3 linked regions of the Ovis aries genome follow. The protein of the gene in region 1 interacts with the protein of each later gene in a biochemical or structural test. Links are inferred from orthologs where the notes say so. Each region holds a gene or a part of one and is shown on either strand. Other genes may lie near its edges.

Region 1 (4,702 bases):
AACTTGCTGTTTATTTTTTTAAAAAAGAGCTGTTCTGTGAAAAATGAAATTTCTATTATTACTGTAACTACTCAATTGTGATGTTACACTGGGCTTTAAAGCCTGAGCGTAAAATAGCATTTGATGGATAAAAACAGTGAAGCTGACCCCATTTTCATCTTCAGGTAATGCGAAAGGACAATTTAAGGCTTAAGTGTGGATTGTGAAAGAGAGGAAGTACAATTCCAGATGCGCTCTGCTCAGGGGCTGGGCACCTCATCAAGGAGAAAACCTTTTTAAGACATGTAGCTCCCCAGCGCCATATGTATGGTAATTGTGCGATCATTACTTTTTTGGTAACTTGGCAATTAACTTCTGAGGTAATTTTTTTCATAATAACTACAGTCACATTTCCCACACATATTACCTCCTGTGTATATATTGGAAATCTAATTACTCTGTCCTGGGAAATTGCTTTATCTACCTGCAGGCTGGAAATTGCATGATAAATCCAAAAGATAACCACCAAAATAAAGATGTCGTTCAGTAATCATGTTTCAACAAACAAAATTAATGTCTACCAAGAAAAATATAGCAATTATGCTCTCTAAAAAGCCACATGGATAGAAAAAAATTAATCAAAACAAAGTTTTAAAAAAATAATAATACTTTGAAAACATATTTGAAATTCAACTGAATTGCAGTCTTCCTGATGAGTGTTAAGTGGTATCCAAAATAATCATCTCACCTCTGCTCGGTTCCTGGACAAAAGTACCAATCAATGGTTGGCTCTGGGAACCCTGCGGCCACGCACTGTAGCATGCCATTCACCAGCCTGTCATGCGTCAGAATTTCTGGTTTTGCTGGAGGAAGAGAGAAGCGGCCATATGTCAGACTGCTAGAAAACCTCACCAAGGCTCCCTCCACAATTTCTGAATTTTTAAAAACTTTCTCAAGGATGAAAGGGACCCTAAGGGAACATGTTGCTCAAAGGGGAGAATGTGAACCAGTGAATGGAAGGTACAGGTAGAAGGATGTGAAGGTCTGACCACGAAAAAGGCTTTCCTGGTTAAAGCTACCCAGCCCCCGTGTGGACTGTTCATCCTGTGGATGTGGGGGTCTCTGAGCTCTCCCTGCCTCAGGGATGACTGAGGTTGCAGGACCACCTGGCAAGGTTTCTGTTCCCAGGGATGGGGAACCTGGAAGATGGGTTCTAATCAGGATTCTAGGGTTCCCAACTGTCTAACAGGTGAAAATGCTGAAGCTCCAATACTCTTGGCCACCTGAGGCAAAAAGCTGACTCATTCGAATATACCCTGATGCTGGGAAAGATTGAGGGCAGGAGGAGAAGAGGGTGGCAGAGAATGAGATGGAATGGATGGCATCACCGACTCAATGAACATGAACTTGGGCAAACCCCAGGAGATAGTGAGGGACAGGGAAGCCTGGTGTGCATGAGGTTGCAAAGAGTCAGATGTGACTTAACAACACTGTTTATTAAAGTATTCCTGCCATCAGAATCTCATTGGAATTTCAAGTTATTGCAAGAACTAGAAGAAATTAGGAGGAGTTACAGGAAGAGATAAGATCCGCCCCCTCTCGAAAATTTCCCTCCTCCTTTTTTTGATGGGGGTGTGGAAGGGATGGTGCAGACGAGCAGCTGAATCACCCCTTTATAGAGAAGCCAAAACATCAGAGTAAAACACAATATGGGCTTTTAACTCCAAACTTTTATTTCAAATGCAAAATAGGAATAGAAAATTAGAAGAGGAAACCAGCCCAAGAGTTTTACTCATACATATGTCTAAACCTGAGTACAATCACTGAAAAAGTAAACTGTATCAGCAGGAATGCCCTAATTTGACATTTCTGTGTAACTATAATAATCAACTGATATTCAATCAAAGGTACCCTGCAAATTCTTGAGATTAGTGAACGGGAAAAGAACTTACATTCAGCTGTTCTACTGGTAATACACTTGAAGGATGTGAACCCTCTAAGAATGAGTAAACTATACTGGAAGCATCTGACGGCAGGGACAGTGATGAGTTCATCCTGCATCCCTGGCACAGCATCGCGGGTGCCGCCCCCAAGCCTGTGCACAGAGCTGTGGGTGGCCCTGTGTGTGGTGGACAGAACTGTACCCAAGCTCTGGCTTTTGGTGGCTCTCTGCTGTCCACCAAGTCTCCGGGTATCCAATGGGAATAACAACAGTAACAACAGGAATTCTTCATAGTGATGTTGTGACAATGAAGTGAAATGATTCTTGACAAAGAATCAAGAATGATTCACAGAAATCAAACAGTAAAAGCATTAATTAATGGGACTTCCCTGGTGCTTCAGTGACTAAGAGCCTATGTCCCAGTGCAGGGGGCCTGGGTTCGATCTTTGGTCAGGGATCTAGATCCCACATGCTGCAACTGAAGATCCCACATGCCTTGACTTAAGACCCAGAATAGCCAGTAAATAAATTTTCAAAAAAATTTTAAGTATTAATTACTACTTTATTACTACTCATTTATTATTTTTTCTCCTTAGAGTACCCACCCTCCTAGGTTAATCAAGTTTGGTACCAATTAAGTTAACTGTATTGGTCACTCTACATATTCTTTTCAATATATAAAGATATTAGATATTGAAGAGAAACTGCTTAACACAGCATGATAACATGTATGTGTTTTAACCCAAAGAACTGGGAATTTGACATTGATTACATTGCAACTGATAGGAAAAATAAATATATTTGGTCAGAGGAAAAGGCCAACAGGTCAGAAACTAATTTCTTCGAAGGAAGGTAATGCTGATAAATGACATCTTTGTAGAACAACCTCTCAGCACCTCATCTCCTTGCAGGCAAAATGGCTTGGCAGGGATCAAAGTGTCTGCATGCATGGCACACCCACCTGTCATTCAACCTGGCCCTGCTGATGGGCAGGCCATTTGGCTAATACACACAAAAGAGCAACACTCCAAAAGCAATCTCAAGGTAGGGGCATCCTTGAGAGTTTGGATCCAACGCCAGCTTTCACAAATAGAGCAAGAAGACAAGCCATCGTCTTGCAAAAGCGTCCATCTGGCAAGTTTCATTTAATTATCATGGGCAACTGTGTGACCAGGCTGAAAAGTAGGACATAACACAGAAAATAGTGGAACTTGAGGAGAATGCTATTTGCTGAAGACGGCAGGCGCCATACGGCAGGTCTCTCTGGACTGAATTCAAGTGTCATCTCCTTTTCCTAGCCATCCTCAACTCTCCAAAGCCAAGTTGGTTGGTCTCGCTTCCCTACTCCCGAAGCACTTTAGAGCACCTGACGCACTTCTATAATATCCTGGTCTGCCTCCATCCGACTGTTCTCAAGGGCAAGGACCATGTCTTACGGACTGTACTTCTGACTTCTAGCAGAGTCTGACCTGTGGCAGACACACAGTAAGAGCTGTTAATTATTAAGTCCTCCCAAAGAAACAAGTCCTTCAAATTCCAAAGGAATTCAGTGTCACAAGAAGGGACCTGGAATATCAGCCTATGGTGACTTTCCTGTTACATCATTTTTGCAATAGTGGGCCACGAGATAAGAAATCGGCACATAAACCTGGCCATGTGGATTTTTTCTTCCATACTGAGATTAACGATGAGAGAAGGTCCACACACAGATAGCAAAGATAACTGGATAGAATCCAACTGGACAGAATTCAAATGGGAATCAAGTTCATAAGACAGATTTCCTCATAACAACCTTCCTCTTGTCATTCATTGTTCCTGGATTTTTAGTGGAATTAACTATTACTCAGTAGGAAAAAAAAAGAGGGGGCTGAAAGGGTGCATTATATTTATAGTTGTTGTATCTGGGTAGTAGAGTTATACATCAATATCTGTTTCATTCTTTTGACTTATTTTCTAATTTTTTTTTACAATGAACACAGCTAATAATAAACTTATAAAACACTGGAACAGTTGAAAATTACATAATCAATTACATTTAGCTTTGGTTACAAGTGCCCTAAGATCCAAGCCTTCCAGCACGACACCTGGTAGCAGCTATACAATGGCCAGGGCTGGCAAACAGTGTGGTCTGGCTGGCCTACTTGTTCCTGTGTGCTGGTTAATCAGGCACATTTTTAAGCTACTATCCCAACTATAACCTGAGGCAAGCCAAGCAGCTTTTGTCCTGTTGGCTTGTAGGCTGGCCAACCAAGCTCAGAGGGCCCCTCAAACTTCAAGGTGCATTTGAAGCACAGAGAGATGAGGTTAAAAAGCACATTCCTGGCCCACCTCATCTCCCCCAAGATTAAGTAATTTGAGAATCTGACCCAGAATGGGGTTATTTTAGAAAATCTTCAAGGGACCCCATCAGGGCCAGGACAAGGATGTGGCAAGAAAAACAGCTAAGGTGAGGAATTTAAGAAGGCTCTCATCCTCCAGGTCCTGCAGATTCAGGTAGACACCAAGAGTGAGCACCTCCTTAAATTCTGCACCCTAGGCATCTCTCTTGCCTCATCCTAATTCCAGCCCTGTCCCTAATGCTGGTGACAAGAGACTTCATTCTGAGAGCGCTAAATTACACGAGTACAGCTGGGGCTATACATGGCAAGTTGCACAAGGAACATGTTTAATGCATAAAGAATGAGCTAGGTATAATTCTGATTCCTAAAAATGAAAATCTGGGCTCATCTGCATTTTGTAAGTGCCTCAACGCACCGTCTAAGTCATTAAATATGCATTTTG
Region 2 (4,702 bases), on another chromosome or scaffold:
TCGGCCTCTCCTCTGCCTTTTCCTTCCAGCACATCTTCATGATGTCATAGAGCTCATCCGGGCAGTTCTCCATGCGGGGCATCCTGTAGCCCTGCGACAGGGCGGTCATCACGTCTGCGTTAGTTCTCCCTGGAGGTGAAAAACCCACAGGTACTGTTTAGAAGCCTGACCGAGGGTCACGTGATGCAGTGGTACCCACCTCCTTCATCCCTGGTTGGAGCGAGTGTCGGAGGATGCTGTGGGCTGAACTGTGTTCCCACAGTCCCCGCTCTCCTGGAAATTCCTATACTGAAGACCTAGCCCCCAGGACCTCAGAATGGAACTGCGTTTAGACATAAGGCCTGTAAAGAGGTGACCAAGCCTTTAGGGTGGGCCTAAGCCCCATTTGACTGGTATCTTTATAAGAAGAGGTGATTAGAACACGGGGATGCCAGAGAGAAGACAGATGGAGATGTTGTCTCAAGGGCCGAGGATGAGCCTTGGAGAAAGCAATCCCGTCAACACCTTGATCTTGGACCCCTACCCTGAAGAACTGCGAGAAAACACATTTCTGTTGTATAAGCGATTCAGTTTGTGGTATTTTGTTACAGCAGCTCTCAAAACTAGTAGAGGGGCTAAGGACATTTCTGTAAGCAACGTAATCCTATAAAGGAGGGCAGTACGAAGAGGCTCTAGGCAGCATTCAGCTGCCAAAGTAAAAACCAGTGAACGTGATAAGCAGAGACAGAGCGAGTTCTCTTTAACGACAAAAGGATGTTGGACCTGACAGATCTTGTGAATAAACAAGCCCAATTCTAACATTTCATCTCACTGTCTTTTGCACTATTTTTTTCCCCCAGCTTCTAATGGTAATTAATTAAAAAAAAAAAAAACCATCATTTTCTCACCTATTATCTCCCAATACTTTTTCAAAATCAGCTTTTCATTGCAAGTTTACTTAAAGAAGTCAGGATCCTTAAGTGAGCTAGACCAACTGTTTCATTTCCACTCCTCAAATTGTCCTCAGGACAAGAAGAGGCAGAGCTCGGCAGGCTCTGGGGAGGGAACCAGCGTGCCTGCGTGCTACGTCACTTCAGTTGTGTCCGACTCTTTGAGACTCCATGGACTGTAGCCCACCAGGCTCCTCTGTCCATGGGATTCTCCAGAATACTGGAGTGGGTTGCCATTTCCTTCTCCATGGGATCTTTCTGACTTAGGGATCCATCCTGTGTCTCTTAAACATCTCCTGCACTGGCAGATGAATTCTTTATAACTAGCTCCACCTGGAAGCCCAGGGCACCCACTATTCCTGCCGGGCTCTGCAGGATTGCTGACTGTGGAGGATGGCTTTTACTCTAATCACTTGTCTCAGGTTAGCTCAGACACTGAACTGTCCGTCTTTGACACTGAGAAGAGCTTTAAGGGGAAAAAAAAGGTCATTTTAATAGTATTTTTCTCCATCATTAAAATGGGATAATAAAACATGCTAATTCAGCCATTTTAGCAGCCTTCCCTGGTGGCTCAGTGGTAAAGAATCCGCCTGCAGTACAGGAGACCTGGGTTTGATGCCTTGGTTGGGAAGATCCCCTGGAGAAGGGGATGGCAACCCACTCCGGTATTTTTGCCTGGAGTACCCACGGACAGAGGAGCCTGGCGGGCTACCGTCCATGGGGTCGCAAAGAGTTGGACACGACTGAATGAATAAGCAACAACAACAACAGCAGGGGCTGGAGGTGGGTAGGTGGGTCGGGGAGTTAGGGTCTAATGGGTACAGTATCAATTTGGGAAGATGAAGACGTTCTGGAAATGAATGATGGTGATAAGTCCAGTGGGTGAGGGCAAGGTGGCCAGGATTCCATAGGAGGCAGTGATGCGGCTCTGGGCCAAAATCTCCTTCTCTGAGCCCCAGAGCCTTGTCCACAGATCACTGTGGAGCATGCAATACCTACCACACAACACTTGTAAGGTTGTATGTTTATTGATCAGGTGTCATATATAGGCAAAGTATATAATCTTTCTCTATAGGTTGCAGATTATAGATAGATATCTGGGCTGATTCAGAAATACCGTCCCCATTTTGCGGTGGTTTTATTCATTAACTTCGGTGTCTAGAGCAGAGCAGCCACCAGAATATGAAATCTGGCACCGGAGGGTTTCACGGGACCGTCAGCCCACTGTGTAGGCCCCACCCAAAGGCTTCCCCCTCCCGCCAGCCCTCTAGGCCCAACAGCAGCAAAGGTGACTAGGAGCCTAGAGGCCACATCACTGCTCCGCCCCAAAGTCTCCCATCTCTTGCAAAGTCAGAGGTGAAGCCCCTGGGCAGCCTCTGAGGCTCACATCCGCTCCACGTCATCCCCACACCTCCTGCCCCTGCTCGGGACCGGTGCTCTGGCTGTTTCCCCCATGGGACACCCAGCCCCGGACAGCCCCTGGGGCTCTCTGCCAAGGCACTGAGTCCCTGCTGCTACTGGATCGCTTTTAGAACCTGCACCCCACCCCCTCACCCCAATCCCTAAACCATCACACCCTCCCCCAACAGCATACTTCCCATCCTACATACGGTCCTTATTATCAGTGATTATTACAAATGATTGTAATTAATACTCAACCATTAGCTCTCAAGGGAGGAGCTGGGACTGCTCCATCCAGCACCTTGGGAATGCTTAGCACCCTCAGATTTTTGAATGAGGGAATGATTTAAACATTAAAGGTTTACTTTTAAACTGGCCATATCCATTGATTTTGTGAAAAGCCCAACATTAACAAGAAAGAGAAGGCTTTGGGGAAAAGTCCCTCTGCTTCCATGTTCTGGAAAAGGGACGGCTGGCAGAATCTGGCTGGGAAGATGCTAGGCATCTGGAAATACTGAATGACGTCCCCACAGCCAGTAAGTTGAGGATGTGAAGAATCATTTGTTTGCAGACAGAGGTGGTTGTCTCTTGAAGTGGCAGAGACTCCAAAGTACATTATACAAATCTCTGTTTCAGAACTGACCAAGCAAGAATCATACAGCATCATTTCTATGTCCGTTTCCTCCACCATCCGGCGCGAGGCTTGGGAGGAGCCCCGTGTCTAGTCCTCCAACCATGTTGCTTCAGCAATATCTGTGACCGCGCCAGGCACATTCAAGGCTGTTGGTGGTGGAATTCATTAGTGGATCGAAAGACATGCACTCAGACACGAAGGCGGAGAAGTGTCTAAGCATATTTTACAATACCTTCCACTAAAGACAAAGTTCTCACACCCTTGTCTTTCCTCTGGATATTTGTTCATCTTTTTTATGTCTCATACCACCTGGCTTTTTTCTCATATATATCCCGCAAATGGAAATAGGTAAGTAAGCAGTACCTGGGTAGGGAATTTTCCCATAGGTGACAATTTCGTACAGGAGAATCCCAAAGGACCACACATCAGACTTGATGGTGAAACATCCGAAGTTGATTGCCTCTGGAGCTGTCCACTTAATGGGGAACTTAGCACCTAGGGGAGAAGACACAGGGGCTTTACTTGGGTCTCTGAGCTGAAACGAAAAAGTCACAGGCGTGTGACTCTCACACTTTCCTTCTTTGAGGGGGAAAGTTTTGATGATTTATTTTGAATGGGTAACACATGCATATCCCAGGTGGCTCAGTGATAAAGAACCTGCATGTCAATGCAGGAGACCCAGGTTCAATCCCTGGGTCGAAAAGATCCCCTGGAGAAGGAACCGGCAACCCACTCCAATATTCTTGCCTGGGAAATTCCATGGATAAGAGGAGCCTAGCAGGCTACAGTCCATGGGATCACAAAGAGTCAGACATGACTGAAGCTGGTGAGCACACAAACACACAGAGGCCTGTCAAATTCTACAAAACCAATATAATAAATTGATCTCCTGGGTCTGAATCCTGGCTCTCCCACTTACTATATGGCTTCAGAAGCTTCTGAGCCTCTCCTTTCTCCTCATATAGAAGGAGGAAACAATACCCTACTTATCATATAGGGTTACTGTAGAGATAAATGAGGTAACGTATGAAAGGCACTTAGAACAGCAGCTGCCTCACTGCACAGCTCACTACCTGCTGCTGTCGACTGCTGGTGCTGTTGTTCAGCTGCTCACTTGTGTCTGGCTATCTGCGACCCCACAGACCGCAGCACACCAGGTTTCCCTGTCCTTCACTACCTCCCAGAGTTTGCTCAAACTCATGTCCATTGAATAGGTGATGCTATCTCACCATCTCCTCCTTTGTCACTCCCTTCTCCTCCTGCCCTCAATCTTTCTCAGCATTAAGGTCTTTTCCTTTTACCTACTTCTTCTCAAACTGTTTTCCCTGACCTGCCATTTTGCTGAAGGTGATTAAGGCCAAAGATACATTATAGTCCACTAAAGAGTTACCAAAACTTGAGGCAGGAGAACCACCTTAAGCGTGACAAATGCAAGAGATGTTTCGCAAATCAAAACAATGTTTTCAGTCTGTTTGTCACAGCTATGAATTCTGTGGGCACCTTCCAGAAATAACACACATGTCGTTAATTAATCCTTAACAAGTCTTAGGCATGTCAAGGAAGTGCTTGGCTCTTTCAGTAGAGAAAGCACTGCAAAAAACCCCCAAACACTACCCACTGAACTTTCAGGAATGAGACTGTCGGAGTCCTCAGATCACAAACAACAGAGAACAGTCTCCAGCAGGAGAGGCCAGTGCAGCGCCAGGCGGGCCGGCCTCGGAGCGGCAGGCCAGGGACT
Region 3 (3,836 bases), on another chromosome or scaffold:
TGTGGCCATTTCGAAGCTTATTTGGCTGCGGGGAGAGGAAACTGCCTGGTCCCACATCTGCCTTTAGAACCAGATGTTGTCTCCTTTCTCCATGGGGCAGGGCAGGGTGCAAGGAGAGGAGTCTGGGGGTCCCAGAAGCAGCTCAGAAGCCCCAGGTAGGATCCTCACCTTGATACAGAAGCCAAAGTCTGTGGGCATCCCGTAGAGCTTGCGGCCCTGGGTCACCACATACACATTGGACTCGTTCACATCTGCTACGTACTGCAGGTGCCTCGGATCCTGTGCAGCACGAGTGAGCAAGACTGTACAGGCAGACCCTATCCCCCTCTCAGCATCCCCCCTCAACCAGCTGGGGACAGTTCAGGCCCAGAGAGGAGCAGAGAAGTGCCCCGGGTCACACAGCACATAGAAGCAGAGCCAGGACTTGAACTCAGTTCACCTGGCTCTCCCATTGCTACCTTCCAGGGCAGGTGAGCTGGGAGGGGAAGAGGGGTAGCTGAGGGTCTCAGGGCCTAGAGGGTGAAAGGTCTAGGAGTTCCCGCAGAGAAGGGGCAGCTCCTAGAAGCACCAGGGATGGGGTCTCCGAGGGGCCGGGGCTGTCACCTTTAAGACCTCACCTTGGAAGTGCCCTTGGTGGAGTAATACAGGCCAGAGCGGCGCAGGAAGCAAAAAAAACGTTTCCAAAGCTTGCGCCCTGACCCCCGGAGCTGCAGGAAGCCCTGGATCTCTGGGAAGCTGCCTGCATTCAGGAAGTTCTGAGGATAGGAGAGCAGGGTGAGAGGCCTCGAGGTGGCCACACACACACACACACACACACAGAGGCCTTCCTAGCACCTGCCTCAGTGGCAGGGGTTTACATTTACTGTCATTTAACAGAGGAAGAAACTGATGCTTAGGGCGGTGCTGGGCTTTCCACCCCATAGAGGGATGGCATGGACTTCAGGGCTAAGAAGCCCTGGGCGATCCTGGGGAGTCAAGGCCATGAAATGGGAGTGGGCCCTCACCTGGATGATGTCCTCATGGGACATGCCCGTGTGTGCATCCAGACAGCTAGAGACCATCTTTTCTGGGAAGAGGGAGTGCTGGGGGCAAAAGGAGCCAGGAGTCAGGACTGAGGATCCGGGTGGGGGTTGGGGTGTCCGGGCCCAGACCCCCCTGTTACGCACACTCACTGGAGTGCTCTTGAACAGCTCGTATTTGGCAAAGTTCTTCCGGAAGACGATGCGGCTGTCTCCACCAATGGGCCAGGCAGCCTGCACTTCTGCCACTGACTCATGATCCTCCAAGGCCCGCTCTGGGGTCAAGGGCAAAAAGCAGGGGTCAGTGGAGGCCAGTCAGGTGTGAAGCACTGCCTCCCAGGCTAGGCAGTCCCCTGCGGCCCAACTTACCCAGTGCTAGGTAGGGGTGGCACTCCACCAGCCCCCAGTTCTCGTCACTCAGGGAGTGAGATCGCTGCACCAGCATCTCGCACACATAGCGAGCCGTGGCCCCTGCCGCCACCTCCACCGAGCGGCAGGTCCCATCTTCGCTGTACACCTTTATGACCTGCACCCGAGGAATGGCCGGTGAGGCGGGCAAGGGCAAAGGGTGGTTCTCTCCCATCCCCCTCTGCTCTACCCTCTGGGATCCTTGACCAAGTCCCCTCCACCCAGCCAAGGCGGCACTATATCTGCCCCATCCCCCAGCACCCCATGCTCCCTGCCTTCTCTTTCCCAGGGAAACTCACATGGGGGCAGCTCGTGTCTCGAGGGAGCAGCCCCCTTGCACTGGAGGACCCCCCAAGAATGGGGCTCTGTGAAGAAGGACTGCAGAGCTCGGGGAAGGGGTTGGGGATGGAGGGCAGAGAGGTTGACTGTAGCTCCTCCTCTCGAAGAAGTTTCCTGGGGCGGGAGATGGAGGGGAGGAGTTGCTAGTAAGCTTCTGTGCATTACCCTAGTGCTGACTGCTCCCCCCAGCTCCCCCCAGCCTCCCTCTGTCAGCCGACACCCCACTTTACCTGCTGGTTGGAATGGGCAGAGGCTGGGACCTCTTCACCTCCCCAGACAGAGGGGCATTGAGAGGTGGGGGAGTCCCAGGAGGGGTCCCAGAGGCCAGGTACAGGTCTTCTGGGGAGCTGCTGAGATGAAGTGGAGACAGACCCAGCTCCATGACCTCTGAGGGAGAAGAGGAACAGCTGCTCTTGTGCCCTTGTCCTGGGGAGAGGGGCCAAGGGGACCCAGACCTCCTTCACCCTTCTGTCAGGCGCCCCTCAGAGTTTATCTGGCCCCTCCTCGATCCGCAACTAACTGGAGTTCCCTGGAGCCTCTGGGGAAGGGCAGCGTTGAGTCCCTGTTACAAAAAGGGACTCTGAGCCCTGAAAAAGAAGCACTCCTGCCTCATCACAGGTGAGACAGGGAGCAGAGCTCAGCGTTTGGACTCCCAGTCCAGCGCTCTTCCTTACCCCAGGTTGCCCAGGGGAAGAGCGGTGAGGGTCCCCTCACCACAGGCCAGGCAGCAGCGACGGACTCCCTGACCCCCACACAGCGGGGCTCAGTGGCACCCTTGCACTTCCCAGTGTGGGGCACTCACTCCTCTGGGCTCTGCCCCAGGTTTTCCCAGCGCTTTGTTGCCAGAGCCTGTTGTGGCAACGCCTGCTCAAGCGCTGAGTGATGCACAGAAGGAGAGAAGGAGGTGGGGAAGGACAGGAACCAGGAGGACAGGAGGCGAGCTCAGTTGCAGTGGGAAGAAGGCGAGTCTGGGGCCTGCGCCCCAGCGGCCCCCAAACCTTGTGTGCCTTCGTTAGACCCCTCCCCCTCCCCAACTTTCTTGAGGCCTCAACGCCAGAGCCACCTCCTCTGAGAAGCCTTCCAGGATTTTCCACATTCAGACTGAAGGGCTCCCTCTGGGCCCTGTGCTGGGGCCTCCGCACCTGTCTTATCCACCCACTGGTCTGAAGATGCCCAGCCATCCCAGGCAAGGCCAGGGTCTTACCCATGTTTTATTGCCCACAGGCACTACACGGCATCCAGGACAAGGATAGAAGAGATGGGGCAAGGATGGCCACCAGCAGGTGGAGGCATCGCAAGCCCCTCCTTCCCAGGAACCAAGACCCTTTAGGCTGGGCTGAGACCTGGGAGGACCTGGGAGGACCTACAGTTCTGTCCCCTGCCTGTGCTCCAAATACTGGGCCAGCGCTGTTAGCTTGCCTAAGGCACCCAAGATCTGCCCCCCTTCCCCGCACCTGGGATGAGACAGGTCCCCAACCTTTAAGTGAGGACAAGAGGAGATTTGGGGGACAGGTGAGTCAGGGTGGGGCGGGACACACTGCCTGGAGCTCTCCATTCACCCTTGACTCATCTCCACTACTTCCTGGCTTAGGAGAAACACAAACAACCCTGCCTCTACCCATCCCCTCCACTCCCCCCCCCACCACAAGAACAGGATTGGGGAGGAGGAAGATGTGGGGGGGGGGGGGGAGGCTGAGGCTCCTCTGACATCATCTCCTCCTCCCCACCTTTGGCCTACCTCCAGTCCAGGTCCAGGTGCAACCTGCAAAGGGCCCCAGGTAGCCACCACCCAGCCCAGGAGCCCCCTCACCCAGGCGGGAGAGAAGAAAAGCCTGGCCGGGATTCAGAAGCCCATCTGGAGTGGAGCTGACCTCACAGGGGTGCCCCTGGGGTACCTAAAGTAACCCAAAGAAACATGCAGTGCTCCTTCTCCTGTCCAGAGCCCCCCAGACTTGCATTCTGCTGCTGCTGCCCACCCTTAGCATCCAGGACTCGGCTGGCCCGGGAGGGTCTCATCCTTATCATCCCTGGGAAATGAGGGTCCTTTTAATTCATATACTCTCCTGGGCG

The links. The genes of interacting proteins can lie anywhere in the genome.
Region 2: the proteins of KIT (region 1) and LYN form a complex in vitro, tested with the Homo sapiens proteins (2 studies listed by BioGRID and IntAct, with this or other methods). The link is inferred for Ovis aries from reciprocal best matches to the Homo sapiens genes KIT and LYN.
Region 3: the proteins of KIT (region 1) and GRB7 form a complex in vitro, tested with the Homo sapiens proteins (3 studies listed by BioGRID and IntAct, with this or other methods). The link is inferred for Ovis aries from reciprocal best matches to the Homo sapiens genes KIT and GRB7.

The regions. Positions count from the first base shown.
Region 1 is NC_056059.1:70,927,573-70,932,274, reverse strand, and holds part of KIT (mast/stem cell growth factor receptor Kit), read right to left. Parts: intron 843-4,702; coding exon 728-842; intron 1-727. UniProt on the Homo sapiens protein: Tyrosine-protein kinase that acts as a cell-surface receptor for the cytokine KITLG/SCF and plays an essential role in the regulation of cell survival and proliferation, hematopoiesis, stem cell maintenance, gametogenesis, mast cell development, migration and function, and in melanogenesis.
Region 2 is NC_056062.1:36,228,203-36,232,904, reverse strand, and holds part of LYN (tyrosine-protein kinase Lyn), read right to left. Parts: intron 3,460-4,702; coding exon 3,328-3,459; intron 130-3,327; coding exon 1-129. UniProt on the Homo sapiens protein: Non-receptor tyrosine-protein kinase that transmits signals from cell surface receptors and plays an important role in the regulation of innate and adaptive immune responses, hematopoiesis, responses to growth factors and cytokines, integrin signaling, but also responses to DNA damage and genotoxic agents.
Region 3 is NC_056064.1:39,850,520-39,854,355, reverse strand, and holds part of GRB7 (growth factor receptor-bound protein 7), read right to left. Parts: exon of another isoform or gene 2,441-3,836; intron 2,154-2,440; 5' UTR 2,149-2,153; coding exon 1,997-2,148; intron 1,881-1,996; coding exon 1,727-1,880; intron 1,546-1,726; coding exon 1,389-1,545; intron 1,295-1,388; coding exon 1,167-1,294; intron 1,083-1,166; coding exon 1,005-1,082; intron 756-1,004; coding exon 618-755; intron 280-617; coding exon 169-279; intron 26-168; coding exon 1-25. UniProt on the Homo sapiens protein: Adapter protein that interacts with the cytoplasmic domain of numerous receptor kinases and modulates down-stream signaling. Promotes activation of down-stream protein kinases, including STAT3, AKT1, MAPK1 and/or MAPK3. Promotes activation of HRAS.